Linked DNA regions of Ovis aries. The protein of the gene in region 2 binds, or shares a complex with, the protein of the main gene of each other region. Links are inferred from orthologs where the notes say so. Each region holds a gene or a part of one and is shown on either strand. Other genes may lie near its edges. The genes, in order: PLRG1, SNRPD2, SNRNP200, PRPF6, STRAP, USP39 and SNW1.

Region 1 (3,982 bases), on a different chromosome or scaffold from region 2:
TGGAAAACTACCCTCCCTAAAGGCTTAACAACTACACTCCCACCTACAGCATGCAAGATGGGACACGTATATTTGGAAATGCTTATTCAAAATTATGGTTTAATTTCTTCATTTGAAACTATAAACTGATTGTTCTTATAAGTGTGTTTTCTAACTATAGAAAGTGAAGTGTGACAAATTATCTTGACTGATAGGGAATGAGGATCCTAAGGACAGAGGCACAGGCATCAAAAATTTAAACTTTTCCATGGAGTCTCTGCAAAAGACTGCAACCCTTGCTATAGCTTCAAACAATCGGTATCTCCAGTTACTTCTCCAGGGTTTGATACCTATATTAGTAACCTACTGCTTGTGGAATAAAACTGAAACTCAAAACACAAGCTTTCCCTGCCGCCACCAGCTGTTCTCATTCAAGTGCAGCAGACAGCTCTCTGTTCCTGGAACATACACCTCTCATATGTCTGGTTTTTCAGCTCACACTTTGCCTTAGAATACCCTTTCTTTCTGTGACCTCTCAAGACTCACCTCAAACACCACTGACTCCATGAAGTCTTCCACAATCCTTCCCAAGGAAAATAAATGGGCTCTTCCTCTGTGTTATCCTGGTTTTTCACTGGCACTTCTATGACAGTATTTCTGTAGTAAGCTGCTAAAAGTGGAAGTCTTAAAGGACAGACACATCTTATCTGTATACTTTCTGAACAGTACCTAGTGCAGAACTTTGCAGAACATGCGCTCAAAAACTGTTGGTGAGATAAACATACATAAGACTTCAAAATCCTTTAATCCCAAAATATCAATCACAGATACCAGTATTTAAGGGTTTAAGAGAAAGATTACTCCCCTCAAAACATGTCCTACTATAGTAAGCAGTTTTGTAAGTTAAAAAAAATGGGGTGTGTTTTAATAGAAGTGGCAAATCATTCTGTTTAGGATAGTTACAGTCAAAAAACTCACATATGCTTGATATCTACATCTTACTTCCTAGGATCTCAAACTGTTAATTTTAGAAATAAAAACATGGGGAAGGACAGTTCATTGTAAAATATGAAAATGCAATGATTCAAGCATGAGTTTTTGCTTTATATTCCTAGCCAGAGCACAAATGACTGGATATTCTCATCAAGGCCAAGCTAAAACGAAACAAAAAAACAAAAACTGCAATGACAACGAACACATCAAAATCTCTTTCTCTTAATAATTTCTGGCTTCCAGCTGACTGGATGAGTTTCTTCTGTCTAAAAACAGAAAAGTAAGTAAGTTAAAACAAAGTATTACTGATCTCCTTCATATTTAATAAGTTCCTTTCTAACAAAAATAAGGCACTTATTCTAAATTATATTACTTGGCATTACACATTTAGCAGTTCTTTAACAATTTTAAGATAGGTGACGAACTTCTGGCACTATCTGATTATTTATTATATAATAAATATTAAGATAAATAATATTTAATATTTAATAAAGGATGAATGCATTTGCTACAAATTCAGTTTATGGTGTTTCATTTTAAATCTAATGGTTTTTAGATATTCTAGTAATACCTAAGATTCTGATTCTAGAGTTAATTTGCATAGCAATCTATTTTTTTGCTGTTATTCTTAGGATAAGATTTTCTTAATAACTCTAATAAGCAAAGTTGAGATACAATCAAAATTATCTACGGATTTGCTGTCATCAATAAAACCAATGCAACAATCTACGAGCAGACACTATTCAACATGACAAATATTTTAGTATTATGAAGATTATTTCCCCTCCTGATAATTTCAATAGTTTTAAAATGAGAAAATGCCTGGAAAATTGGCAAAGCTGATTTTTTCTACTTTAAAATATCTATGAAATACAGAACTTACCGCTGTATCATCCTCTTTGTACACTTTTATGGTTTTATCAGCTTCAGCAGTTAGTAATCGACTTTCAGACTGATCAAAAGCACAAGCAAATATTCCTGACTCACTGTCCAAAGACCCAGGCTGCACTGCTGCATGAACCCTCTGGAAATTGTAGCCAGTTCTCCAGTCCCAGAGATGCATAGTGCCATTGTCAGCTTAAAGGGAAAGACAGGTTAGACCAAGTGTCCCCTCAACAGTTCAGCCTGACAAACACTTATTAAGAACCCATCATCAGCCAAGCACCATGGAGTTATAAAGACACACAGGCACTTGAGCTCCTCTTAATATCAATTTGTCTACTTTCATTTGTGCTTAATTCATAATTTATTATAGATCTCAAAAAGCACCACAAAATGACATTTAACTTCAAAACACACAACCAAACTTTAGGTGATTTCTGGCATAAATCCTTAACTTAGATTTATCAATGCGGGAACTTAAAGAGAATTGACCTATGAAATATGCTATATGTATTATGAATTTGCATGAATACACATGTTAAACAGGCAAGTTCTATTCTAATACGTCAGTGTAATGACTTAGAAATTTTACTCACTTAAAAAAAAAGATAGACTAAAACATATTTATCATAAAAATACTTTACCTCCAGATACAAGCACTCCATCAGAATTTACTGTCAATGTGTTAATAATAGCATTGTGACCAGAAAGATTTTGAATGAAACTTCCATCTGGGAATTTCCACTGTTTTATGTTATCTGGAGAACCAGATGCAAATGTGTAACTGAAATAAGAAAAGAATTAATAATAAAGCAAACAAAGTTAAATACAATGGTGGATTTTTAAAAAATCTTATTATGGCTATATTTTGCATGTATCATCAGGATTTATGTAGTTTTGGCAAAATATTATCGTCATACCAAGATAAAAATATCAAGATAAAAAGATCTGTTCCAAGTTATATCAGATTTCTAAATTACTTTAAATGTATGATAAGTCCTAGATTGAAGTTATATTCTCCTCTCATTTCCCCAGTGCTCTACACTGAGCTAAAGCAATAAACATATAACCCCCTAAACTCACATGAAGGGCAAGGGGTGATTTAAGTGTTTTGGAGAAAACGAGAAAGCCAGAAGAAGGGAGAGAGAAGACGTGAGAGAAGGAGAGAAAGAGGCAAGAGGAAGAGAAAAGGGAGTCAGGGAGAGGAAGAAAGGGAGTGAGCGAGACAGGGATCGGAAGGAGGAGACAAGATAAATGCAGGGAGGGTGAGGAGGGAGGATAGGCAGGAGACCTTGGGAGTACCAGGGGACACGGTTTTATAGACAGCAGGTTGTGATGTTATGCTACATCTCTCTGTGAATGATGTTCATGATACCTACTATTTTTTTCCTATGTATATTAATTTCTTCATGATGAAATTAACTATTCTATGTTCAGTCCAGTGTCCAATAATATTTTTGTCCAAAACTTTAAATCTAGCAACTATTAGCTTCCATTACAACATGCAGCCTGTCACCATGATTTATTTATATTATCTCATTTGACATAATTTTTCACTATGTAGAAAGTTTTCCTCATCTTATGGAGGACAAGAAAAATACTTCACAAGGAAAATAAAGGAAATGCAAGCTCATAAATGGAACAGGTCGGAAAAATGACTAAATGACTACCAAAGTAGTACTAATTTTGCTATTTCTAAATTATACTAAGAATTGAAGGAAGAAGAGAAGCTACTTAGGAAAACAGACTTACTGTCTTGGATGTAAAACCACAGCTCTGACTGATTTTTTGTGATTTGTTAATGTGACTCTTGTTTTTCCAGCCACCAAATCCCATAATCGTATTGTAGTATCATGGCTTCCTGTAAGGAGAATCCCCAAAATACAGACCAGAAAAAAAGAATGCAAAAGGTAAATATAATAAAACCTGAAGCATTCTTCTACAGACACATATATATAAAACAAAAGTCCTATCAACCTTTGACTAACTGCTTTCTATTCTTTCAAAATACCTGGTTGATTTTAATTATTAAATGTAATCAACGCTTAATCTGAAGAGCCAGAACAACTGTGAAGACAAATGCATAACGTCATTCCTAGTGGAGAGGAAGGCAAAGACTCTCATGATT
Region 2 (4,772 bases):
ACTTAGCAGCAGTAGCAGCTGCTCAGTGAGGGCAGATTGGGGGCTTTTCTAGGCTCTGCTGTGTCCCCAGCATGGCAACACAGGGCTGGGCACAGACTGTTTGAACAAATGGGAGAAAAAAAAAAGTGAAAAAAATTTTGAGTGAGAGGGACTTACTGAGAGGTGGGGAGGAGGAGGAGAAAGCAATGAGAAAGTAGAAAAAAGTTTAAACACAAAAGACCGCAAGAGCTCTCTCTGCCCAAGATGGGAAAATTAAGGCCTGGAAGGGGCAGAGCCTGGGCCTCTTCACCTGTTCAGAGAGGCCTGAGCCCATGCTTGGCCCCACACCCTGCCACCCCTCTCTGGGGTCTGTTCTGCTCTCTAGGCCCTGGGAACAGGCAGAGGCTGCTAGAAAAAACGCACAGTTTTATTATTTCAAGTACAGAGGGCAGGTCTTCGCAAAACCAGGGGGAAAGTTCTGACAGCAGGGAGGAGGCCCTACTTGCCAGCGATGAGCGGGTTCCTCAGGACCACGATGACAGAGTCCCCGCGCAGGAACATCTTGGAGATGTAGCGGTCCTTGTTGACTGGCTTGGACTTCTTCTTGCCCTTGCCGCTCTTGGGGACCTCCGTCCACATTTCCTTCACATTCTCCAGCACCATGTTGCAGTGCCTGGTGGGGACGGGGAGGCAGCAGGACTGAGTGAGGGGTGTGTCCTGACCCTTCCTCTGGGCGGCACTGCCTCTGGGAAGGGGGAGAGCCAGGGCTCCGAGGCTCGGGCAAAGGACTTCACCTTCTGCGCCTCAGTTTCCTCGTCTCTAAAATGGAGACATTCATGGTGCCTGCCTCCTATGGCTGTTGTGAAAATTAAGTGAATCAACACACTATTTTTCTTATGGGCATGTGTGATGACAGTGTGGAATAGCTCGGTCAACAAACGTTTACAATGATTAGAGCAATGAAAAAAAAACCAGGTAAGAGCCCTGTCTTCATGGGCTCTGCAGGCTAGTGAAGGGAGAACACGAAGCAGGTAAACAAACACACCTGTAATATACTGTCAGGTGGTAGTAAGTGCTATGAAGAAAAACTAACGCAAGGTAAAGGGATGGGGGGCTTCCCAGGTGGCTCTAGCGGTAAAGAACTTGCCTGCTAATGCAGGAGACATAAGAGATGCAAATTCAATCCCTGGGTTGGGAGGATCCCCTGGAGGAGAGCATGGCAACCCATTCCAGTAGTCTTGTCTGGAGAATCCCATAGACAGAGAAGCCTGGTGGGCCACAGTCCATAGGGCTGCACAGATTCAGACACAACCAAAGTGACTTAGCCCTCATGCACACACACAAAGGAATAGGAGGATACAGGGAACTATGACTGAGTGAAAGAAAGAAAAGAAAAAAATTGGGAAAGCTCTGTATCTTGCTATATAGTAATCTACGGTGAGGAAAGCACTTCCCAAATGCTAACTAAAGGCTGCATGTGTTTACTGAGCATTTATCATGTGTTAGGTACTGAGCCAAGTGCTTTTCATACATAGTATTACTGAAGCCTCATTACTGTTCTGAGGGATATTATTATGACGCATATTTCACAGGTAAGGAAACTGAGGCCCGGACAGCATACCTCCCCAGACCCTGGTGCTCACCTGTCGAAGGCCTTCACGCGGCCCAGGAGCTTCTTGTTGTTACGGCAGTTGATGAGCACTTGAGTGTTGTTTTTGACTGACTGCGTGAGCACGGAGAGCGGCCCCGTGTTAAACTCCTCCTCCTCCCGCTTCTGCAGCTCCTCTGGGGTCATCTCACTCTTGGGCTTGTTGAGGAGACTCCTGAAAAGACAAGTATGGAACCCAGAGGTGAGCAGGCCCATAGCCTGGGTGCTCATGGCCTCTCCCTTGGTGTCTCCCCGACACATATCCCTCTCTTCGTACTCAGTCCTCTCTCTTGCTATCACCACTTGGATGCCTAATGGATATTTCCAATCCTCGCATGACCTAGACTGAACTCCAGACCCCCCATAACCCCAACTTAATACTATCCACAGCCTTCCTCATCTCTGTCAGTGGTGACTCCATCCCTCTGGTTCTTTGAGCAACTTGACTCTTTCTTCTCTCACATCCTACATTCAATCTGTCAGCAAATCCTGCCATCTGCCACTAAAACCTATCAGAATCTGAATTTCTTACCTTGGCTTAAACCTCCATCATCTTTCCTAGGTCTCCTTGCCTCCACCCACGCTCCCCAACAGTTCGCCCTCCACAGAGCAGTCTCAAGGGTGGTGTCAAGAATCATCTCACTCTTGAGTACCCTCTCAGTGTAAACAGTAAAGCCCAGCTTTTACCCTCACTCTGTTCCAGGCACAATGGCCTCTTCAGTGGTTCTTGAAGCTATCAGGCAAACCTTCTTGGGCCCCTCTATTCACTTTTCCCTCTGCCTAGGTACGTCCCCAGGTACCTTTGCAGTTTGCTTTCTCACTTTCTTCAGGTTTTTGCTCAAGTGTTGCCTCCTTCATGCGTTCTGTCTCTCACAAGAGACATTCCACGCTGTTTTACCCTGCTCTGTTATTTCTTTATTCAAAACCCTATTCCCTAACACATTCTAGAATTTACGGATTTATTACCAGCACGTTTCCTGCCTGCCTCTTCCCATCCCGTAAGATGTAGAAGAGGATTTTTTTTCCCTTGGGGAGAGTGGAGTAATTCAGTGATATAAGCTATGCGTCTAAAGCAGCCTAATACACAAACAACTCAATAAATAACTGTTGAGTGACTACATAAGTAAAATCATCCCCATAACTCGTTATCCATACCAATGGCGGATGTGATCGAAAAGCCAATTGTCTCCAGCTACGCCTCTTACCTTAAGACCGCTTTTCCTACAAGTCCGTACTCCTCATCTCCCAGGTTTTTAATTCGTAAAAACGCTTCCTCTTAAACTTCACTTCAATAAGATTGCTTATTTGGGAAAGCCCAGCCTGTTATCTGATAAAGCTGTCCCCGCTCCCGAAGTCAGGATCCTTCAAAGGCCCCACGTCCCCTCGCAACTCATCAGTAGAAAGATACGCCACTTTACCCCCAAATGTTTGCTTCCGCGCCCACTTCTGCCTACCCACTTCAACCGGTAAGTGGCCAAACTTACACCCTCAATCCCACTGCCGCCACCCAAACCCAGCCCGGCCTCACATGATGATGATGGTGACCGCGTTTTCAAGCCACTACCGTCTCCTCCGTGGTGTGCCTCCCGAACAGAGAGCCAGAGGCGGGACTTCCTCTTCCTACGGCCCACTTCCGCGCGCGCCTGCGCATACCCAACCAGCGAGTGGGGCGTGGCCCGTTGCTATAGCGATCTCCGCCCTCGGCGGAGGCTGCCGAGTAGAAGCCTTACTTAGTAAGTAGCTCCAGGCCACCATTCAAGACAGTGCTGGGCAGATATTCACGACCATGGAGAGGAAAAGAAGGCGGGACTGATTAAAACCATTTTGTTGCAGAACCGCATAGGTTGAAAGAGGGGAATACTAGCCATTTCCAAATGCCCGCCCGCTCTGCCTTTGGGGGCGCGGCCTTGGCGAAGCCAATCCCCTCCTCGCTTCAGGGATGGGCACCTCCCCTTTCCTTCGGAAACTGTTGATTTACGTGTATATTGGTTTTTCTGGACCGGGGAGAGGGTCCATCCGGGAGCGGCGTGGATTTGCGCCCAGTAAGGCTAGTGTTTTCGGTGATCAAACGCTTCTCATTGGCTTCCCCTCCTGCGCTGAGGCGGCGCCTACTTCTTACGCTCTCCCTTTTGGGTTGTGCAACCCGGGGGAACCAACCCCCAAAGCTCCCTGAAGACAAGGAGCCGCGTCCTCAGGCCGAAAGTCCCATTTGCTTTACTGCTCGTGGGGGGGGCGGATGGTGCAGCCGCTCTTGTTGTTCATTGGTCTGGCTTATTTCATGGGGCGGGACTTGGCTCGGCCTTAACTCTATCCGCCGTCTCCGACCGGTTTCAGGGCCAAGCTGCCATGCGTTCCGGGGGCCGCGGGCGGCCCCGACTCCCGGTCGGGGAACGCAGCCTTTTGGAGCGACCCTCACCGCCCAAGCGGCGCCTGATACCGCGGGCACAGCTGTTGCCCCAGCTGCTGCTGGCTCTGACAGTAGCCTTGGTGTTCTATACCATTTGGAGCAGCTGGCATAGCCAGACTGAAGAGCTGCCGCTGGGCCGGGAACTGCGGGTGAGGACGGGCGGGGACATGGGCACTGCGGAAGCCCTTACTCCTTGCCTCCCCTTCCCCACGGTCTCATGGGGAAGACCCTAGGTTGGGTTAACCTGGCTTTGTCTTTACCTTATGGCCCTAGCTGCAGGTGCCGCCGTCTCCGTTCTTAGAGCGCATACCCCTTTCCAATGCAATGAGGCTTCGGGCTTGTTTTGTAATAGCGGTTACCCCGTAAGAGAGTCTGGAGTAGTAAGACTTGGAGTTCTGGGTTCTAATCCTAAAGGCAGCTATTTGGAAGAGTCCCTTCCTCTCGCTGGGCCTTGATTTCCCTCATCAGGATTGCCGTGGGCTGCGCAGGATGGGTTTGGAGGGACTTCTAGAAACCTCTGATGCTGGAGGCTGCGGCTAGGAAGAGGAGGGCAGCCTCCAGGATATGGTTGGAATGAGGGTCGTTTTCATGCTCTGCTCTTCTCTTCCCTACCTGCTTCCTCAGGGCCCTTTGATCGGAAGCCTCCCCGAAGCTCGGGTGCGGAGGGTAGTGGGGCAACTGGACCCTCACCGTCTCTGGAACACTTTCCTGCGCCCTCTGCTGGTTGTACGGACTCCG
Region 3 (3,982 bases), on a different chromosome or scaffold from region 2:
ACTATGAAACTACGTCTTATGCTGCCTCATGAATGTTCATGATGTTTCGTTCTTTAAGAACACAGTCCTTACTGAGATTTTGGCAACAAGGGGAACCTGTCGCAGACCCGAGAAGCCTGAAAGCACGCTTACACGGAGGATGTGGCGCCCAGGGCTGGAGGGCCCGGGTGCCGACGCCCCGGCCCCTCTGGAAAAGGCCAGAGGCTGCCCACCTTTGCGTTCTGCACATTCCCCAGCACGACCTCGGCGTTGAGCATGTCGGGCAGCTTGGACACCATCTGGCTCTCAATGGGAAGCTGCTGGTTGAGCAGCGACAGGTAGTACTGCAGTTCCCCATGGGAGGTGATGAGGATGCCTTCGCCCTTGGTGTCGTACTGCGGCCGGCCTGCTCGTCCCAGCATCTGGGTGGAGACAGCAACCAGAGGGCCATGGCTCAGAGCTTCCAGCTCCTGACTCCAGGCTCCTACACCACAAACCTCACCCTCCACCTGCCACCTTTGGGGTATGCTGGCATCTTATACACAGCATGCTTTTCCCGTAAGAATAAACTCAGAAGCTCCATACTTGCAGGATGTCCAGCGCGCCTAGTTCAGTCCAGCGGCCCTTCTCCGGACTGTACACCTGGGTGCCTTTGATGATGACGGTGTGGGCAGGGAGATTCACACCCCAAGCCAGGGTTGCTGTGGAAACTAAAACCTACAGACCCAAGGCAAGGCAATAAGAAAATCAGACCTTGCCACCAAGGGTACCTATCCTCAACTTCTCTAGGCACCTGACTCAGGGCGTCTAGTAGGACTGAGGTTGGTCCCGTACTTGTCAATGAAACATCAGAGTGAAGAGGAAAGGAGTCTTTGGGTTCCTCATCTCTTCCAGAATCAACATTTCAAGGCTCTAGAGACACTTAAAGAGGCAGTAATGCAGACCTATCTGAATCAAGGTTGTGCTTAGTCACTCAGTCGTATCCAATTCTTTGTGACCCGATGGACTGCAGCCCGCCAGGCTCCTCTGTCCATGAGTTTCTCCAGGCAAGAATACTGAAGTGGGTTGCCATGCCCTCCACCAGGGGATCTTCCCAACTCAGGGACTGAACCCAGGTCTCCCACATTGTGGGTGGATTCTTTACCATCTGAGCCACCAGGGAAGCCCAAATCAAGGTTACTAGACAATTAAAACTACAGACTCTCCTGAGAGAAGGAATGAACAAGGTCCTGACTTTATGGGCCTTGTGTGACAGTATCTGGAGTCACCCACATCCTGGCTTTGCTGTGCTTCTCAGACGCTTTCCTAAACTTCCTCAGCTTCCCTCACGTATGATGGGAAGAGCTGGGAGAGGCGGTGTGAAGTTCCACTGACTGTACCTACCATAGCCCTCTGACCTGGGCCACCCGGGCCAGAAACAACAAAGCGCCAGGCATGAGCACGCGGCCCAGTGCCCAGCGTTTCCAGTCTCCTCGCCTGAGCTCTGCCCACCCTCACCTGGATGTGTTTATCCGCGAAGAGGTCCTCGACAAGTGTCCGGTCAACTCTGGTCATGCCCGCGTGATGGATAGCAAAGCCATAGGGCAGCAGGTCCTTCAGCTCCAGGTTCTGGGCAGAAGAGAAAGAACAGGTGAGGAAGTGAGCCTGCCAGAGGGGACTCTCCTGGAGAGGAAGCAAATCTCCTCAGCCAAGACGCTGCTCCTCGCACAGTCCACAGAGACACAGGCAGTCACACTCTGCCCCGTGAAGCAGTACCGCCAGGCAGCCCTGGAGGACGGCCCGGCCGATGCGGACTGAGCCAGCGACCGGGGAGGAATGAGGGACCCGGGCCTAACCCCCTCACCTTGCACTGCTCAGCTTCTGTCCGGAGAACCTCTGTGGAGGCCGAGCCCTCTCTCAGAAAGAGACCCAGCGTGTCCTTCTCCAGGCACATGTCCCGGATGGCCCTGGCCGTCTTCCCGGTCTCCTTCCGGGAGTGCACAAACACCAGCACCTGCAGAGGGGCCACAGTCAAGGGGCACCGCTCCAACAGCCACCCCCCACCCCCGGCCCGGGGAGTCGGCAGCAGGGAGCAGAGGCTGCACCACTAGCAGGCCAGAGACTGAGGTCTTGAAGTGGGGAGATGGCAGGAGCGCATGGAAGCCTAACGGAGCCCTCAAGACCCTAAGCAAACAAATCTGGCTCATGACGAGGACCCTGTTGCTAGGAAACCCAACTAACTCCTAACACTTTGTCTTTAATAACAAGTTTAAATATACTATAGATGAGAATTCAGGAGTCTCGATTAAAAATTTGTGTTCAGGTATCTGATGAGATTCTAAACAGTTAAGAAACATAACGGGCACTGGTCTATGTAAGTGGACTTAGTAGAAAACTAGCACCATTTGCAGGAAATAAAAGCCGTCCAAGTCTTTCTTGCCAAGGAAAGATTCGTCTCTTCCTCTAAATCCTTATGCTTCTTTCTTATGAGACAAAATACACAGTGTTCAACTAAAAAATTACATCACACTATCCAGCAAAATGCCCTTTCACTAAGTTTCCATTTTTATTTTGATTTTTAGAATATTTTTAGTGTAAGCCACTCAAATCTTTCATGGAAGAACCCCTGATGATCTAGATGGACAGACTGCTTATCTGTGCGAGGGGATTCCTTTTCTGGGCGTTTTATAACCACAGGCTCAGCTTAATGGTCATAGGACTATTCATGTTTTACCCACTTCTTCAAGGCTGTCTTGCTAATTGGTAGTTTCTGAGACTAGCCCACTTCTCCAAGGTTGTCAAATTTAAGTGCGAGGCTATTCACAGTATTCCTTTAGCAGCCTTTCAAAGTCAAAGGTAAGGGATTCTGTAGCAATATCCCATTGCATTTCTGGTACTGGTGATTTGCTTTGTTTTTTTCTTTGTCTCTATCAGCGCTGCCCAATTATCAGTAAGTCAAAAATTCAAAGAGGTCAGGAGTGACAAGAAACCATGACAGACCTGATTTTTTCCAGCATGTTCCATGATTTTCTCATAGACAATTTCATTCATGATTTGGAAACGCTTGATGGCTTTCTTCTCCGTGATGCCCACATATGTCTGTTCTAGAGGCACTGGGCGGAAGCTAGAAGTTGAACAGTCAAATCAGTAAGACTTTGGCACAAAGCACTGAATAAAAAGTCCTTTTCACTGCCAGGGAGTGACGGGCCTCTTTTAGGATTTGTACCACATCAAAACCAGGGCCATTCTAAAGCTCGAATCTAACAGAGCTCCTTGGCAGAGAAGCAAGACATCAGGAAGGCCACCCTGCTTAACTTCTTCCCGTCTCCTCTTTCACCTGTTGTCAAAGTAGAAGAGGCCCTTGGCAGGATCTACACGCAGAAAGGTGGCCACGTCTTCATAGTTGGGGAGGGTGGCGCTGAGGCCAATGAGGCGGACATCCTCCTGGGTCATCTCGATGTTCCGGATGGCCCTGGCCACCAGCGCTTCTAGGACAGGACCTCTGTCATCGTGGAGAAGATGGATCTCATCCTGAGGGATGGGAGGGCGGCAAATTACCTTTGGGACCAGAGAAATGAGGGCCCCTTTCCTGAGAGTAGTCCCGTTTTCCAAGTACATAACTACCATTGCAAATGAAGAAGACAAGAAAAGGGATCCCAAGCCAGGGGACCTCAAAGGATGAGACAGCATTCACCGTGAAACATCCCAGCAAACGTGCTCTGAGCATGAGCCGCTTTGCTCCAGTTCAGTGAACAATGCGTTACGGTCAGAGAAATCTGACACTTGGGTAAATGAATTCCTAGCTCACCTCAAAGATAGATTTCTTTACTAAAAATGAAGCTTCTGATGAGACCAAATTTGTATCAGATTAAGTTTCACCTCTAGGCAGTTATCTTTACCAAGAGCAAACAATATGATGTATCAAATAAAGAATAAAGGCGGTGCATCCCAAATCTCAGCAGGCATTCAAAGCATATGGAGACCTTACTGAAATGCAGACTGTATTTCAGTAGGTGGGAGCACG
Region 4 (4,556 bases), on a different chromosome or scaffold from region 2:
CAGCAGAAATACAGTATTGTAAATCAGCTATACCTTAAAATAAAAATGAAAATAAAAATATGTAAAAACTTAAAAAAATAAAAATAGGACTTTCCCTGGTGGTCCAGTGGTTTCCAATGCACCGCCAAGCAGAGGGTGCTGGTTCAGTCCCTGGTTGGGGAACTCAGATCACACATGCCGTGCTGCACGACCAAGAATAAATAAGTAAATTTAAAAAAAACACAATAATAGTACTGCTGCTGCTGCTAAGTCGCTTTAGTCGTCTCCGACTCTGTGCGACCCCATAGACGGGAGCCCACCAGGCTCCCCAGTCCCTGGGATTCTCCAGGCAAGAACATTGGAGTGGGTTGCCATTTCCTTCTCCAAAGCATGAAAGTGAAAAGTAAAAGTGAAGTCGATCAGTCCAACTCTAAGCGAGATGAGGAGAAACTGTGAAGGATATGCAGGAAGTCTCCATACTATTTTTGAAACATCTCTATAACTTTAAAATTATTTCAAAATTAAATTTTTATTTTTTTATTTCAAAATTAAAATTTTAAAAACCTTTTCCTCTGAGGAAAAATACCATCTGTTGTAATATATCTATAGAAAACCTCATAGACCAAACAAGAATTAACTAGAAAGATGAGAACTAACGCAAATGAAGACAAACATTACCAGCAACTCCACTTATAATTCCCCTCATAAGGGCTTTCCTGGTGGCTCAGTGGTGAAGAAATCCACCTGCCAATGCAGGTGACATGGGTTTAATCCCTGATCCAGGAAGATCCCACATGTCTCAGAGCAAGCAGCCCAAGCACAACTCTTAAGCCTGTGCTGGAGAGCCCGGGAACTGCAACAACTGAAGCCACTACATGAGAAGCCTTCCCACTGCAACTGGAGAGTAGCCTCTGTTTGCCACAACTAAAGAAAGTTCGTGCAGCAATGAAGACCCAGCACAGCCCCCAAAAAAGAATAAGAAAAATTAGTTTCAGAAAAAAATTTTCATCTTTAAAGACCAGCCAAGATACGTCAGTGTGACAGTTCTAATATTAGCAAGTGCATCTCTTCTGAAGCAACCACAAAAGGGCACATTTCGTTGTATTTGTCCTGCTCCCCCTCACACTCTGTACACGCTGTCCCCTAACCTTGAGTAGCTAAAACAGTCAATATACCCATTACTCCAAGCCCCTCATCAAATGCCCACAGCACAGTGTCCCACACAAGTCACCTCATCATAATTGGTGTCATTAAGATCCTCATCATCGTCATCTGCAGCCTGGCTCTTCTTCATCTGGTCCCCAACAGTCCTCTTGCCTGGGGGCGCATGGCGGTCATCCACAGGATCGTTGGCATCCCGAGCAGGCCCGATGTCTGAGCGGGTGGTGAAACCAGTGGCGCTGCAGGAAACCCCAAGGCGCCCATTTATCCTGTGCCAAGACGCTTAACAGCTGTCACCTAATGACACCTTTTTCTAACTCCTCTGGGAAATCTTCAAAGAGCCCGGAGAAAAACTCCATACAGCTTTGCTCTCACACACCGCCTGTCTGCCCTCTTCAAGAGAAAAACCTAAGGAGTTTCCGAGATTCGTCTGGGCACTAGACCTCCCTTCTTCTAGGTCCCAGCCTCCCGTTTCCAACAGCCTGCCAATCAGCCCTCTCTCCCAATCCACCAGGTCCTCAATCCTATGTGGCCCAGTCAGAGTTCCTACTCTGTGCCCACCCTACAGCTGCTCAGAGTTGTTTCAGTCAATGGTGACAGTGCTCCCCCAGGCACAACAGCATCAACTTTGCTTCCTTCTCCCTCTCATCTCATTAGAAAACACCCTGATGCTGGGAAAAATTGAAGGCAGGAGGCGAAGGGGATGATAAGAGGATGAGATGATTGGATGGCATCACTGACAATGGACATGAGCGTGAGCAAGCTCTGGGAGATGGTGAAGGACAGGGAAGACTGGCGTGCTGCAGTCCACAGAGTGGCAAAGAGTCGGACACGACTGAGCAACTGAACAACAACCCTCCCATCTGTCTCCAAATTCTACAGGCTCTACCGCCAAAATCCCTCCTCCCATTCTGGCTACCCCCACATGTAGCTCTCCTTCTGCTTCAAAGCAGCTCTGAGCACAGTATACTGAGGCATCTGCCTCACTTATGCCTACAGGGGCTCTGGTCCCTCTGCTCCTGCAGTTCCACCCACACAGATTCCTTGTAATTCCCTCTTCTTCCTCCACACTTCATCTTCTTTCTCAACTGCCCAACACAACGGGTCAGTTTCTTCTTTGACCTTGCCACAACTGTACACCCTTACATCCTCCTTCAAAACTTGGCTCAGATGTTGGTGGCTGGTTGCTTTCTCTTTATGTACTTATTTACACAAATACCTCATCTCTCCTGTTAAACTGCAAGTCCAATGTGCGCCCCAGATTCTAACGTGCATAACGCTGGATATAATACTCGCAAAAGAGAAACCCAATAGTCTTCTTGACCAAATGAGTAACAAACAAATAGGATGATGATTGCTCATTTATTCAACAATATACGGTAGGCACCTGACCTGGGGGACGCAGTCCCAAGACTCACCAATGCCACCCCTACCCTCAGGGAGTAGAGACTCTGAAGAAGCAGCAATATGACCAGCAGCACCTCAGAGGTGAATGAGGTACCACGGGGAGCGGCCAAACAGAGGACTCCAGCCCGGCTCGTGGGAAGAAAATCTGTCACGCTCGAGACAGGGCTGGGAAGTCCGAATGGCCCAGGGGTTAAAGTAGCCATGGCACTCCGACTACATGACGGGGACTCGCGACCTCACCACTGCAGAGTGGCAAGACTGTGCTACCACCCACCCTGGGGACTGAAATCGGGCTCAGAGCCGGCGCACCAACTCCAACCGTCCCGCCACCTCGGGCCAGACAACCTCCCTCGGGTCTGCCCTGATCCAACGCGCTGTTCTTCCCACAAGGATCAGACTGACCCCAAACCTTCCCTGCTCTCGTCCTCCCAGTAGCCGTCGGCGAGCGCCCCGACCCAGGCCCCTTCCCTCAGCGCGCGGCCAGCTCCAGGCCTCACCCTCGGCCCAGCCCCGGCACGTAGCCGAGAGGGGCGGGCATGCCCAAGAACGGCTTCTTCTTCTTGTTCATGGCGCCGGTGACACCAAAGGCCAAGAATGTGAAAGACCCTGGCCGCGGCCAGAAGCGAACCACCACAGAATCTTTTAAGTTCCGCCGCAGGAAGCAATTGCCGCCTGCGTCACCCTTGCCCCGGAAGCAGAACACCCCGTACGACGCAGCCCCGCCCACCGTGGATTCCCCGGGCGGAAGTTCACGAAACAAGACTCCCGGCAGCTTCGGCTAAGGGGCGGAGACGCAGAGCGCGTGCGCGGGAACGCCGGTTCCTGGCCCCGCGGGCGAACCGTGTCTTGCTGGGCTAGCCCTGTGAGATCTCCGAACTGAGCAGGGGCGGCCCTGCTTACAGCCTGTTCTCGATGCATTTCTGAGACCTTCCTGTACTATCCGGACCTCTTCTTGTACTAGCAGGGTCCTTTTCTTCCCTGAGCCACACACTTTGCCCTTCAGAATCGTCCTGGCCCTGGGTCAGGGCCTAACACACCTGAACGAGCTGCACACCTAGGCCGTTGTGTAGAGCTTGGTGGGTTGTATGTGTCGCGATCGCTGTGCCCCCATGTGCAGTCTACTGCCCTGGCTCTCAACGCTCAGATTTCTGGGCCCAATTCGGGCCCTTCCCACACCCCAACTATACCCTGAACATCCCTGTGACTCCGGAGAGGGTCAGAACCCAGACCCTAAAGAGTTAATTGATGAAAATAAATGCAGCAGAACAAGCCAGTATGTGGGCATGGGTGGTCACAACATGTGGGTGGATTCCTTGTGTGTTCGTAGGCACAGATGCAAGTCAGACCATCTGTACTCATTTGAGGTGGACATGCAGGACTGTCCTGCATACATGTCTGAGTGTCCATGTGCACCTTTGCTGAGAAGGCTGTGGAACATTCTCTGGCCCCCACATATACCTGGGGAGAGCCATCAGGTTGTTGGCAGAGCAGGCAAAAAGCTGGTCACGAGTCTAGCCTTCTACTGGAAGAGGCAGCTGCTAGCCCAACCTATCACTTCTCACTGGAGTTCCGAAGCAAGCACAATGCATCTGCCTGCTGCAGCCTCCTCGGAGTTTCTCTCTCCTGTCTGTCCCCAGCCGACCCCTTTTTGACACCACGTCCTGGGCACTGAGTCAGATTCCAGAGTAACAGAAGGCAGGGAAGAGACCCTGATGTCCTCCTGAAGTTCACAGTGTTGGTGCGGGCTGAGACGGTCAAACTGGCTTCTCTGGGAAACAAGTGCCCATTCCAAGGGAGACCTCCGTAGAGGTCTGCAGAATGCATGAATAAAGGAATGGGTAAGTAAACTGACATAGGAGAATGGAGGGGAGGGGTGGGTCTGGCCATTGACCGTAGCCCCAGAGGGCAGAGGGTCCCAGGAGAAAGTAGAACCCTTTCCCCTTTCGGTCCCTGCCTCAGGTGCTCCTGCGGACACCTGGACGCCGTGCAACTGCACAGAGTCACTCGTT
Region 5 (4,416 bases), on a different chromosome or scaffold from region 2:
ACTGCAGCCTACCAGGCTCCTTCGTCCATGGGATTTTCCAGGCAAGAACAGTGGAGTAGTTTGCGATTTCCTTCTCCAATGCATGAAGTGAAAAGTGAAAGTGAAGTCATTCAGTCGCGCCCAACTCTTAGTGACCCCATGGACTGCAGCCTACCAGGCTCCTTCGTCCATGGGATTTTCCAGGCAAGAGTACTGGAGTGGGTTGCCACTGCCTTCTCCACCCTCACCTTCCAGTCCTCCACAAATCTTCCTTGTATGAGAAGCACTTTTACTTCCTATTTTTCACATCCCATAATTAACAAAGGAGTCTGTCACATTATAAGCATGCATGCCGACCTCTAAACCAACATTTGACATTAAAGGATTTACATAAAACCAAGCAGTTCCTTATTTTATCAGAATTGCATAGACTCACAATAGGGCAGAGCACAAACCCTTACAATGGTTATGCATAAACATAACAACATCTATTCTTTGAAGGCAAAGAAAAAAGTTCAAACTGACATTTTAATTTTTCTTACTGATCTATCATCTCAAATTTAATCCCACATCAGCATGGGATTGTATCTCCCTCTGTTTATTTAAAAATTCTATTAAAAAAAAATTATGTATTGTAAAACTCACTCCACGGCACAGAGCTCTACAAGTTTCAACAAATACAGTCATGTATGCACCACCTCAATCAATCTGCCTTTATTTTTCATAATAAACCTAGTATGTTTAATTTGCTTAATACAAAGGCACAACAAACACATTCACAATTGCTCTTTAGTGTAAAATTCTGTTTAAAAAAACCAATTTTTAAAAACCTCTTTCACTCTCAAGACTCTCAACTCTAACAGTCTACACATGTACAATAACCCTTGACATTGCCTTCCTTTAAACATTTAAGTGTCTGCTAAGTCATAAACATTAGGAAGTAGAGGTACCAAGGTTATGTAGGACATGACACACATGAGCAGACAGGAAAGTGGGTCATTGGCAAGTCAGCTTAATAATATATGCAAAGCCAAAAATCAGAGTAAGTAAGGTCCCTTCTGTCAACAATGAGTATAACCAGACTGTGGGGCACGGGGTGTGCAGGGCAGATGATGATGGTGAACTAGGATGGGCCAAAGTGTAAAGAGGCAACAACTGAAATTTAACCTTTAGGCCGATGATTAAAGGCTGCACATCAGAATCACCTAGAAGAACTTCTAGCAAGGAAATAAACTGTTGTTGGGGACTTTACAGCCCCCCCACCCCCACCCAGACCCATACTTATATGAGTATTTTAAAAGCTTCTAATAATGTATGCCCAAGGTCATGGATCTCTGACAAACCAGAGTTAAGACAGGAAAAGCATTAGCTAGAGAAGTGACCTGATATTTGTGTTCAGGAAAACTGATAGCACCAGGGAGGATGAACAGATGAGAAACGACTAGTGGTAGGGACCTGAACTAAGATGGCAGTGGCATAAGAAATAACGGCATCAGCAGACATTCTGCTAGTGCAGTCAACAAAGATGACGATAATCTAGATGCAAGGGGAAAATCAACAATTTAGATTTCACCCCTACACAAAATGAAGTCATTTGAGTCTCTGTGAACAGTCTGAGAACCATTTAAGAGAAAGAAGCAAGTAGGATCAGGCTGGAATTCTGGTGCGATCAAACACGGGGTGTTCCATATGGTAGGCAGTAAGAATTTCACGAGTAACCTTTAACAACGTTTTGATCATTTCAGAGCACAATCCACAGAGAACTCCGAAGGTGGCCATTTCTGGCTGCACTTACGCTGTGAAATCTGCAGCGGCTGTCGCTGCCTTGGTGGCATCTTTATTCAATGTTGCGCCCCAAACGGCACCCTTATGACCCAAAAATGTTCCAATCCAGTCTCCTGTATCTCCCTGGCGAAGCATAGGCTTACCATCTAAAAAATATTGAAGAAGACATGCGACTTAGAAGTTCGGAGGACTTAAAATCTAAGACTCAAACATAAAACGATCATATTGAAAAACAAAGTGGAAACTGTTTTTGTTGTCTGAACTATTCTCACTCACTGGGGTCACTAAGGATTGTTCAGAAATAAATTCAATGAGAAACCCAGCTGCACATTCTCTCTGGGAAGCATCTGTAACTAGGTGAAGATTGACCTGCGTCAAAACAATCTAGATTTGAGTCTTATTTTGGACAAACTTCTTAACACAAATCTCAGCTTCGATCACACACCCACACACACAGCTTCCACTTGAAAGGTGGAAAACGGAAGTGAAAAATTCCATACGAGAAGAGACTATTCAATAAGATAACAGGAACGCTAAGTCTTCGTAAAGTAAGGCCTGGCCTAGTTGCTGCATTCTGCCAAATCCTTGAGAGATATTTACACTGTTTGTTGGCCGGGACGTTTAGGCACGCGCACAGTTCAGCTTTTCCAAAAATAGCAATAAAGGTAAAACGAGAAGCCTTCTTTAGGGGCATTACTTAGCAAAGCCTCTCGGCGTCAGCTGCGGAAGTCCTAACAACTACTCCTCTCCCCATCAGCCCGCCGTGGGGCCCTAACCTCAAACGCTGCGAGAGCCGCAGTTCGTTCCGCAATGGGGATGCCAACCTCGTTCGCTTTCCGCCCGACCTCAGTCATCAGGGGCCCGACTAGCGGCCCCGCTCACCTTTGCAAGCGCTGATTAGAAAATAGCCATAAGGCGTGATGCCACTGAAGGCCAGATCCACCACAGGCCGCGTGTGGCCGGAGCAGGTGAGCGGCGTCTGCCTCATCGCCATGGCGGCGGCGAGCCGAGAGATCGCGCTGCAGAGCCGAGGGGTCGTCTAGTCTTTTCTCTCCTCTGTGGCAGCGCCTCCGGCTCTTCAAGGCCCCCGCCCCGATACTGACGCTGGGCCAAGGCACAGAAAAAGGCCAATCCGGTGGCCCCAAGGTCAGGAAGGGGTTAGGGACGGGTCAGGGAGTCCGCGACGGGAGACCGACCGCCGCCGAGGGAGGGAAAGGGAAGGAGGGAGGAGAGTAGGGGAAGGGGAGAAGCGGAGAACGGGCGGCCACGACCCGTACCGTCCACACCGGTACCGACAGGAAGTGACGACACGAAAGACGCTGAGCGTCCGCCGGAAGTGACGAAGTAGCGGGAAGGCGGATTCGCCCCGCAGAAGCTGCATACAGGCGCGAAGACGGCAGCGCGCCGGCGCGAGAGCACGTACGGTGGACGCCTGACGCTGGCCCCCGCCTGTACGCACGGCTTCTGGCGGAGCTTTTGGCTCTGGTTCAAAGTGGGGGCGCGGATCTCTGAGCTCTCACTCCAGAACGGCAGTGGCCATGGAGTTTCTGGGCAGAGTTGCCAGGTGCGAAAGCGGGTACTGCTCACTTGAACCTGGCGGCCTCTGTGGGTTGTGCACCAAGCCGTTCAGGCGGTTGAACTGTGCTGGGTGTGTGAACATCTACCTCTAGTTGTTTCCGGCGATGACCCAAACCTGCAAACAGTAGGAACTTTTTTTCATTCCTAACAGTTATATAAGAAACCTCCTCCGGGATTGTCTCCAGGGCCCTTAAGTACGTTCCCCAGCCACGTAACATTTCTCCATTGCTAGTATTTTGAACGGGCTCTGTGACTTTAAGTGAAAGTGAAGTCGCTCAGTCGTGTTCGACTCTCGTTCGACCCCATGGACTGTAGCCTACCAGGCTCCTATGTCATTTCCTTCGCCAGGGGATCTTCCCAACCCAGGGATCGAGCCCGGGTCTCCCACATTGTAGACAGACGCTTTACCGTCTGAGCCACCAGGGAAGTCCTGTGACTTTGAATACAATTAATTTCCAATTACTTTTTCTTTTGAGGCCTTCGAAGGACTCTAGAACAGTGATCCTCAAATTCTTTGATGAAATACACCAGTAAAGCTTGAGTTCCCATTCCCAGTATACGGATAATAATTTGTAAGTTCAGTTCAGTTGCTCAGTCGTGTGCAACTCTTTCCAGCCCCATGGACTGCAGCACACCAGGCCTCCCTGTCCATCACCAACTCCCGGAGTTTACACAAACTCATGTCCATTGACTCGGTGATGCCATCCAACCATCTCATCCTCTGTCGTTCCCTTTTCCTCCTGCCTTCAATCTTTCCCATCATCAGGGCTTTTTTAATGAGTCAGTTCTTCACATCAGGTGGCCAAAGTGTTGGAGTTTCAGCTTCAACATCAGTCCTTCCAATGAACACTTAGGACCGATCTCCTTTATGATGGACTGGTTGGATCTCCTTGAAGTTCAAGGAACTCTCAAGAGTCTTCTCCAACACCACAGTTCAAAAGCATCAATTCTTCAGCGCTCAGCTTTCTTTATAGTCGATCTCTCACATCCATACATGACCACAGGAAAAACCATAGCCTTGACTAGGTGGACCTTTGTTGACAAAGTAATGTCTCTGCTTTTTAGTATGCTGTC
Region 6 (3,706 bases), on a different chromosome or scaffold from region 2:
TTTAACAGTGGCTGTTGAGGGACTTCCCTGGCATCCAGTGGTTAGGACTCAGCACTTTCACTGTGTTCCACAGCTGGGGAACCGAGATCCTGCAAGCTGCGTGGCAGGGCCAAAAAAAATCCCCAAAGCCCCCAAACAACAATGACTATTTATTGCAATCTATATGGTCGCTGTCAGTTTTTGGAAATAAGTAGCTATCCTTAACACATGGAAAGCTGCATAATATAGTTAGAACAAAGTTGCCTGCTTATTAATACATGGTTTACATTGAGATTTTTTGTATTTTTGGACAGATGATATATTCATAAATTCATAGTGTAAAATTCAAAAGGAGATAACATATCTAGAAATGATCCCTGGATGTGATCACTGTTACCATTTGTAAATCTTTCCAGAGATGATAGTGCTGTGTTTCATGTTATGAGTGGTAGCACAGCAGACGGATCTAGAGATGAGAAAAAGGATATGATCTCTCTTGGGCTTCCCACGTGACACAGTAGTAAAGAATCTCCCTGCCAGTGCAAGAGATGTGGGTTTGATCCTTGGGTTGGAAAGATCCTCTGGAGAAGAGAATGGCAATCCACTCCAGTATTCTTACCTGGAGAATCTCATGGACAGAGGAGCCTGTGGGCTACAGTCCATGGGATCACAGAGTTGGACACAACTGAGTGACTGAGCATACACATACTCTCTCTTATTCTACCATGTATTTACATTTTTATAAATATTTGTAGGTGTCAGAAGGTTATATTTTTCCTGAAAATAGTATAGTTAGCTTTCTCTTAATAGTCATGTTAACTGTCCATCTACTTCCCCATTTGAAAGTTCTTGGTAGTTGTGATTGCCGTCTTCACAGTAAGCCTGTATTATAGTTCTTGACTTCATAAAAACTGGTATACATTTATACCACATTTGTACATCAACAGATGAAACAGAAAAGGAGGTTTTATTCTAAGTACATCAAGAATGCTTCCCTGTGTTTAAAATAATGAGTGTTCAAGTCTTAAAAATAAACTTGATGTTTTTAAGTCCCAATTGAAGGAACCTAGTCAGTAGTCCCTATTGACAACCAGAACTGAGAAATTTGGAAGCTGTGGGGGAGTCAAGGTGGGTTCCATAAAGGAGAGAAAGCTGGATGGGAAAAGGATAAAGCTTTTCAAAGCAGAAAAGAGGGCAGGTAACTCTTGGATCTTGCTGCTTCCCTAGTGCCTGGTTTCTGATGCATTTCCTAGTCTGAAACTTTGAATCAGTTAATCCCCCTTTTGTACTTGGGCTGCCCAAGGTGGATTTCTGTTACTTGTAATCATTTTGCCTACTTGACTAAAGGCAAAATAATCAAATAAACACAGTCTCATAAAATCAAAGAAAAAAACACATCTGAATGATCTGCCTGGTTTGCCGTATGTTAAAAAGCTAATTGATATATTTATTTTGGCTGTGCTAGGTCTTTGTTGCTGTGCATGGGCTTTCCCTAGTTGTGGCAAGCAGGGGCTACTCTGGTTGTGGTGCAGGAGCTTCTCACTGTGGTAACTTCTCTTGTTGTGGAGCATGGGCTCAAGAGCTTCAGTTGCAGCTCGTGGGCTTAGTAGTTGCAGATCACAACTTAGGGGTGGTTTAGTTGCCTGGCAACACGTGGAATCTTCCTGGACCAGGGATTGAACCTGTGTCCCCTGCATTGGCAGGCAGATTCTTAACCACTGGACCACCAGGGAAGTCCTGTTTTGCCACACTGAAATTGTCACAGTGATTGTATACAGTGATAGCTGACATGATCAGGTGAGCAGGCTGCTATAGCCTGAGTCCAGAGACCAGGTACCCCCTGAACACTGCCACTGCAGCCGATTCCCTGACAGAGCAGAGGGTGAGGCGGTTACCCTTGTTCTCATCTCAGAGGAGATGATGACTCTCATTCTCTTATAGAAGAGCCTTAGCTTATGTCACCTGCTTAAACTTACACACAGCTCCGAGGTGACAGAGCCTCGATTCCAGCTCAGGTCTGAATGACTCCAAGCTGTGTGCTTCAGACTGCTAGGTATGCATTAATTTTTATTTTTGAATATTTTTTTGTCCATGCCTCGTGGCTTGAAGGATTGTAGTTCCCCAATCAGGGATTGAACTAGGGCCCTTGGCAGTGAAATCATGGAGTCCAACCACAAGACCACGAGGCATGACTCCCCTAGGCATGCTTTTATTTATTTATTTTTAAATTTTTAATTAAAAATATTATTTATTTGGCTGTGCAGGGTTTTAGTTGCAGCATGCAGGATCTTTCAGTTGTAGGATCTTTCAGTTGCAGGATCTTTAGCTGCAGCATGCAATCTCTTAGTTGTGGCATGTGGGATCTAGTTCCCTGACCAGGGTTGGAACCCGGGCCCCCTGCATTGGGAGTGCAGAGTCTTAGCCACTGGACCACCAGGAATGTCTCTGAGCATGCTTTTTAAAAATTAATTAATTTATGGTTGCACTGGTCTTTATTGCTGCATGTGGGCTTTCTCTAGTTGCAGTGAGAGGGGGTCTACTCTTTAGTTGCGGTGGGCCGACTACTCACTTTCGTAGTTCTCTTGCATAGTACAGGCTCTAGGGCACCTGGGCTTCAGTAGTTGAGGCCTGTGGGCTCAATAGTTGTGGCACACAGGCTTAGTTGCTCCGCGGCTTGTGGGATTTTCCCAAACCAGGGATTGAACCTGTGTCTCCTACATTGACAGGCGGATTCTTTCCCACTGAGCCACCTGGGAAGCCCTAGGCATGCTTTTAAAATATGCTTTTCCCATAGAGCCAGTCCTCCTAGTTAGACCCATTTTTGTGGCAAACTATAAATATCCACAAACCTGGGCTCCCTAGCTATTCAAGCCCACCTAGACCCAAGTTCCCGAAATAGGGTTCCACAGCTTCGTGGTCCATTTAGGGAGGACAGTTAACCTCTACAGGGCAAACTTCATAGGATTTGTCTGATCTTCACTTTATTTTCCTCATTCTCAGAAATGTGGACCTGAGAGAGTATTTGTCTGAAGAAGTGCAGGCAGTGCACAAGAATACCACCTATGACCTCATCGCCAACATTGTACACGACGGCAAACCCTCCGAGGGCTCCTACCGGATCCACGTGCTCCATCATGTGAGTAGGGCTGACTTCTCACTGTGCAGAGTGGCAGAAGCCGGTGGTATTCCCTTGGCCTTTTGGAAGGCAGCTCCTTTCAGTTTGCTCTTTCTTGTCCTTGATTTTGGGATTCTGTGAGAAACAGTTGTCAGTGACCGGTTTAGGGCAACTGTTCTCAATTTTGGCTGCACGTGGGACTTCCCGGGGTGCAGGTTTTAGACTGCTGAAGCCTGGGCCATCCCAGACCAGTTACGTGAAAACTGTAATTTGTGCCTGTTGATTTTCCATTGGGGCAGAGGCCAGAGATGCTGCTGAATATCTTCCAATGCACAGGCAGCCCCCACAGGCAGCAAAGAGTTTTCTGGTCCAAAATGTTGGAGTTAAGACTTGATTAGATTATCTGGAGGTGAGACCCAGGCATCTTGATAGTTTTAAAATTCTCAGATTTCCAGTATGTAGCCAGATTGAGAAGCACTGTCCTAGACTAGCACCTGCCACCAAAAGTGCCTTGGATTCACAGCATTGACATCATATGAGAACTTGTTAGAAATCGTAGAATCTCAGACCCCTCACATACCTCCTGAATCACAGTCTACTGATTAACAAGAC
Region 7 (3,734 bases), on a different chromosome or scaffold from region 2:
CCAGTTCTAAAAGGTCTGGAGACTTAAGTACAAGAAGACACTTTAGTGGTTAGCAAGATAATGGAACAGTGGAAACACCAGGGAGACCTTGGTTGAAATACTGACTTTCCCACTTACTGTGTGACCTTGAGAAGACTCTTTTGAGAGTCCCTTGGACTGCAAGGAGATCCAACCAGTCCATCCTAAAGGAAATCAGTCCTGAATATTCATTGGAAGGACTGATGCTGAAGCTGAAGCTCCAATACTTTGGTCACCTGATGCGAAGAACTGAGTCATTAGAAAAGACCCTGGTGCTGGGAAAGATTGAAGGCAGGAGGAGAGGGGGATGACAGAGGATGAGATGGCTGGATGGCATCACCAACTGGATGGACATGAGTTTGAGCAAGCTTTGGGAGTTGGTGATGGACAGGGAACCCTGGCATGCTGCAGTTACTCTGAGCTTCTTAACTGAACTGAACTGATGTGACCTTGGGCTAGACTGATTTACAAATTTTAATGGGAGTTCAGGGAGCCTTAAGTACAAGGAACAAATAACATCCTTTGGCTCACTGGTGCTGATCCCTCATAGAACAGCAGTTTTCAGTTTTAATGTTTTTGCAGACATTGACTTTCCTTACAGTGCTGAATTTCCCCCCCCCCCAGCTCCATGTTCAACCTCAAAAACCCAAAGCTTTGCAAGGAGACCAAACATCTGATGAAGAGAAAGATTTTTGAGACCCTCACTGCCTACTGAATAAAGTAAATAAAAGAGAGGAAGTTTTGTCTAAATGTTTTTATTTGAAACAAATAGCTGCACCAAGCAAGAGCTTACTTTCCCCGCTCCAAATCAACAGCACAACAGGGGCAAACATCATTTGGCAGGACAGTTCCAATATGTGAACATCCTTCTTTCTACTTGCTGTGATTGGGGTCACTTTATTCATAAGCAGTCATTTTTAGACAAAATATTAACCCCAAAGTACTAATGTCTCTTGAAAGTGGCCTTAATTTCACGTGTGGGGCAGTATTTTCTATAAATGCCAAAAGGTGGGAGAAGCACAAACACAACCCATTTTTAAAAAAACTAAATAATTCAAAGTAGAATTTTTCCATACCCCCCTCCCTCTCCTGTAATAAAAAGTAGTGCTGGGCTCTGACACCCAGATTTGGTTTTTATCCTGGCCATGTACAAAGTGTTCCCCATATGACTTGCATCATTAGGGTTATCAACAACAGTTCGTTCACTCTGAACAAAGTATCTACTCCTTCCTTCTCTTTTTGCCTTCATGCTCATGTTCCTTGGGACGGCTGCTATCTGAGGGTCTTTTAGAGCCACCGTGTTGCTTGGCTTCTTCCAAAAATTTGTCCAAACCGAAAGGATCCTCCTCAAACTGAACTGGTCCTTCTCGGCCTCTTTGTCTACGGTCTGAACCAGAAAACTCCTTATCGGGAACAAATCTAGGGAAGAAGAGAAATGGCTATGAACCACTTTATTTTCACTGGTGTAGATGTTAAAACTGAGCGGTCTGCCCTGGTACCTGTTAGTCTTTATTCTGGCTTCTAGGTCATCTCCATACATGTCCTTGTCCAGATTTTTACTGGGCCTGTAGATATTCTGGGCCATATCTTTTCCACCTCTCCAAGCTTGATCATAAACATTGTAAATTTCATCTTCCCCACATCCAAAACCACTGTCCATACCCTGTGGAAAAATAGACATTAAAGTATGCAAGTTTTTATTATAAGTTGAATCAGATTACATTCTTAGGAAGAGTAAACCCTTGCTCATTTACAGCTTACATGTTCAACAATCTGAACTACAAATTAAAAAGGTTATTAAAAAATGGTCACAGGAGGGGATATATGTATAGCTATGGCTGATTCATGTTGAGGTCTGACAAAAAAGTCTGTAAAGCAATTATCCTTCAATAAAAAAAAAAACGGTCACAGTTACTCTTTTTTCTTCATATCACCTTTGGGTCCTTACATTAAATATGGTACTCATTAACGACTGTTTTAGCAAAGTGGTCTTTAAAACTGGAGGATACTAGTATAAGCAGGCACTTGACAATCCATTTGTGCAGACACAGTGGCAAGATGAAAGAACTGCAAAGCATTTTATCTGATGCCATTTATAGTAATGTTAAACTCCTTAACTGTGTGAGAACACTACTGAAGTGTAACACAATATTCTCAATGAAAATCTCAAGTCAACAAACTTGTTTTGTGATGGTTAATATAAGAATGTGCCTTTTGATAAAACTTTTCCTCAACTTTTTTTTTTTTTTGGTTTCGAAGGTAGACTTTGTTATTCACGAAACGGTATCCTGGGGTGTGAGGGGTCATGGTCTCTGTTGAACCATGGTTATGGCCTAGAAGCGGGAAGCCAGGCCCTGACTCAGCTGGTGCAGAGTAGGGGCGAGGACCTGGGTTCTCCTGATGTGGTTATAGTCGTGCTGGGGACGTATGTACCCTGTCACCCCCCTGGTGGGTCCGTGAGTCTGTCCTGCTGTGACTCGGATACCATGCTCTCAGCATGTTTGCTGGAACAATCCGCAGGGTGACTCCCAGCCTTGCAGGAGGAGATGGGACCCCTCTATACCCCAGAAGACATTTATACTTCTGTATTCTCAGCACAGTCTGCCTTGTCTTTATTTATATACATGTATCTGTCTTTTCCAGTAGACTTGCAGGTTCCTTGAGTGTTAAGACATGTCTACCTTTGATCTCACTGACTTACATACAGTAAATCATCAATGTTGGGTGAATTAAAACATAAAGGGACTGCCTCAGGCCTAAGGTGTTCTAGCTAGTTAATGACAACTGATACTAGAAATCAGACTTTCTGATGAGTACTTTGGTTTTATAGCTTCATTTTTCAAAGATCCCAAGTTTGTGTTTTTATAGCATAAAAAAATTATTTTTGCAAATATCGACAAAAAATAACCCAAGAGACACTTTTATAGGACACTGGCTCTATTCTAGAAATAAAAGACTCACATACCAGAACCAAGTTTTACTACCTAATTTCTTTCATTTTCTAACAGTGTCTCAAATCCTAGCCAACTCTAAGAGCTATTCTAACTTGTTTCTTAAGTTACAATATGCAACTTCTGATTTTTTTTTCCCCATCACACCAGCATACCTTAGGCTGATGCAAATGTCTCATATGCTAATTTTCTTTTCCCTGAAAATTGTCATTTGTATCAACACTTAAGATATGCTATTTCTAAAAAAAAACAAAAAAAGATATGCTATTTCTAGACTCTGTGTACCTTGGATTGGTTGAAGAGCCTTTGGTCATACTGAACTTCATTGGAAGTCCGAGGGTTGGGCACGCCAAGAGCAATGACTTCACTGATGTCTCGATTTTCATTTCTCTGTAGTTTCGACCTGTTTTGAAATACCATGCCACAAATTGAAACTTCTTCACAGACAAGATGAATTTCAACTTCAATACAACCATTATCAGAAGCAGAGGAAATAAATATGTCCAGTTCACATCTTATGAACATATATATTCCTTGATAAGGCACAATTAGGATGCCATTTCTTATAGTATTTCAGATACATGATTATTGGAAGAGACAGGGTTTTACAATTAGGCATTCCTGATACAGAAAAGAACTGCTAGAGATTTCTTTTTTCCCTTGAGGAAAATACAGGACTACAACATTATAATTTGACATCTAAACACTACACAAAGTGATCACCACCAAAGTGTAGTTACTGTCAATCACCATACAATTGACCTC

What was found.
Region 1: SNRPD2 (region 2) and PLRG1 share a complex: the UniProt entries of both Homo sapiens proteins name them as parts of the minor spliceosome. The link is inferred for Ovis aries from reciprocal best matches to the Homo sapiens genes SNRPD2 and PLRG1.
Region 3: SNRPD2 (region 2) and SNRNP200 share a complex: the UniProt entries of both Homo sapiens proteins name them as parts of the U4/U6-U5 tri-snRNP complex. The link is inferred for Ovis aries from reciprocal best matches to the Homo sapiens genes SNRPD2 and SNRNP200.
Region 4: SNRPD2 (region 2) and PRPF6 share a complex: the UniProt entries of both Homo sapiens proteins name them as parts of the U4/U6-U5 tri-snRNP complex. The link is inferred for Ovis aries from reciprocal best matches to the Homo sapiens genes SNRPD2 and PRPF6.
Region 5: SNRPD2 (region 2) and STRAP share a complex: the UniProt entries of both Homo sapiens proteins name them as parts of the SMN-Sm complex. The link is inferred for Ovis aries from reciprocal best matches to the Homo sapiens genes SNRPD2 and STRAP.
Region 6: SNRPD2 (region 2) and USP39 share a complex: the UniProt entries of both Homo sapiens proteins name them as parts of the U4/U6-U5 tri-snRNP complex. The link is inferred for Ovis aries from reciprocal best matches to the Homo sapiens genes SNRPD2 and USP39.
Region 7: SNRPD2 (region 2) and SNW1 share a complex: the UniProt entries of both Homo sapiens proteins name them as parts of the minor spliceosome. The link is inferred for Ovis aries from reciprocal best matches to the Homo sapiens genes SNRPD2 and SNW1.

The regions. Positions count from the first base shown.
Region 1 is NC_056070.1:3,083,426-3,087,407, reverse strand, and holds part of PLRG1 (pleiotropic regulator 1), read right to left. Parts: intron 3,716-3,982; coding exon 3,607-3,715; intron 2,639-3,606; coding exon 2,499-2,638; intron 2,050-2,498; coding exon 1,778-2,049; 3' UTR 1,239-1,777; coding exon of another isoform or gene 1,179-1,238; 3' UTR 1-1,178. UniProt on the Homo sapiens protein: Involved in pre-mRNA splicing as component of the spliceosome. Component of the PRP19-CDC5L complex that forms an integral part of the spliceosome and is required for activating pre-mRNA splicing.
Region 2 is NC_056067.1:53,040,552-53,045,323, forward strand, and holds SNRPD2 (small nuclear ribonucleoprotein Sm D2), read right to left. Parts: upstream 3,220-4,772; 5' UTR 3,158-3,219; coding exon 3,156-3,157; intron 1,803-3,155; coding exon 1,623-1,802; intron 653-1,622; coding exon 478-652; 3' UTR 386-477; downstream 1-385. Other genes in the region: QPCTL (glutaminyl-peptide cyclotransferase-like protein), read left to right, coding at 3,974-4,183, 4,659-4,772. UniProt on the Homo sapiens protein: Plays a role in pre-mRNA splicing as a core component of the spliceosomal U1, U2, U4 and U5 small nuclear ribonucleoproteins (snRNPs), the building blocks of the spliceosome.
Region 3 is NC_056056.1:104,075,144-104,079,125, reverse strand, and holds part of SNRNP200 (U5 small nuclear ribonucleoprotein 200 kDa helicase), read right to left. Parts: intron 3,490-3,982; coding exon 3,296-3,489; intron 3,083-3,295; coding exon 2,959-3,082; intron 1,973-2,958; coding exon 1,823-1,972; intron 1,588-1,822; coding exon 1,477-1,587; intron 697-1,476; coding exon 565-696; intron 402-564; coding exon 213-401; intron 1-212. UniProt on the Homo sapiens protein: Catalyzes the ATP-dependent unwinding of U4/U6 RNA duplices, an essential step in the assembly of a catalytically active spliceosome. Plays a role in pre-mRNA splicing as a core component of precatalytic, catalytic and postcatalytic spliceosomal complexes.
Region 4 is NC_056066.1:53,567,889-53,572,444, forward strand, and holds the start of PRPF6 (pre-mRNA-processing factor 6), read right to left. Parts: upstream 3,227-4,556; 5' UTR 3,116-3,226; coding exon 3,045-3,115; intron 1,380-3,044; coding exon 1,211-1,379; intron 1-1,210. UniProt on the Homo sapiens protein: Involved in pre-mRNA splicing as component of the U4/U6-U5 tri-snRNP complex, one of the building blocks of the spliceosome.
Region 5 is NC_056056.1:199,646,463-199,650,878, forward strand, and holds the start of STRAP (serine-threonine kinase receptor-associated protein), read right to left. Parts: upstream 3,068-4,416; 5' UTR 2,759-3,067; coding exon 2,647-2,758; intron 1,911-2,646; coding exon 1,775-1,910; intron 1-1,774. UniProt on the Homo sapiens protein: The SMN complex catalyzes the assembly of small nuclear ribonucleoproteins (snRNPs), the building blocks of the spliceosome, and thereby plays an important role in the splicing of cellular pre-mRNAs.
Region 6 is NC_056056.1:57,489,881-57,493,586, forward strand, and holds part of USP39 (ubiquitin carboxyl-terminal hydrolase 39), read left to right. Parts: intron 1-2,346; exon of another isoform or gene 2,347-2,419; intron 2,420-2,979; coding exon 2,980-3,115; intron 3,116-3,706.
Region 7 is NC_056060.1:87,002,678-87,006,411, forward strand, and holds the end of SNW1 (SNW domain-containing protein 1), read right to left. Parts: intron 3,373-3,734; coding exon 3,255-3,372; intron 1,682-3,254; coding exon 1,073-1,681; 3' UTR 758-1,072; downstream 1-757. Other genes in the region: SLIRP (SRA stem-loop-interacting RNA-binding protein, mitochondrial), read left to right, coding at 643-714. UniProt on the Homo sapiens protein: Involved in pre-mRNA splicing as component of the spliceosome. As a component of the minor spliceosome, involved in the splicing of U12-type introns in pre-mRNAs.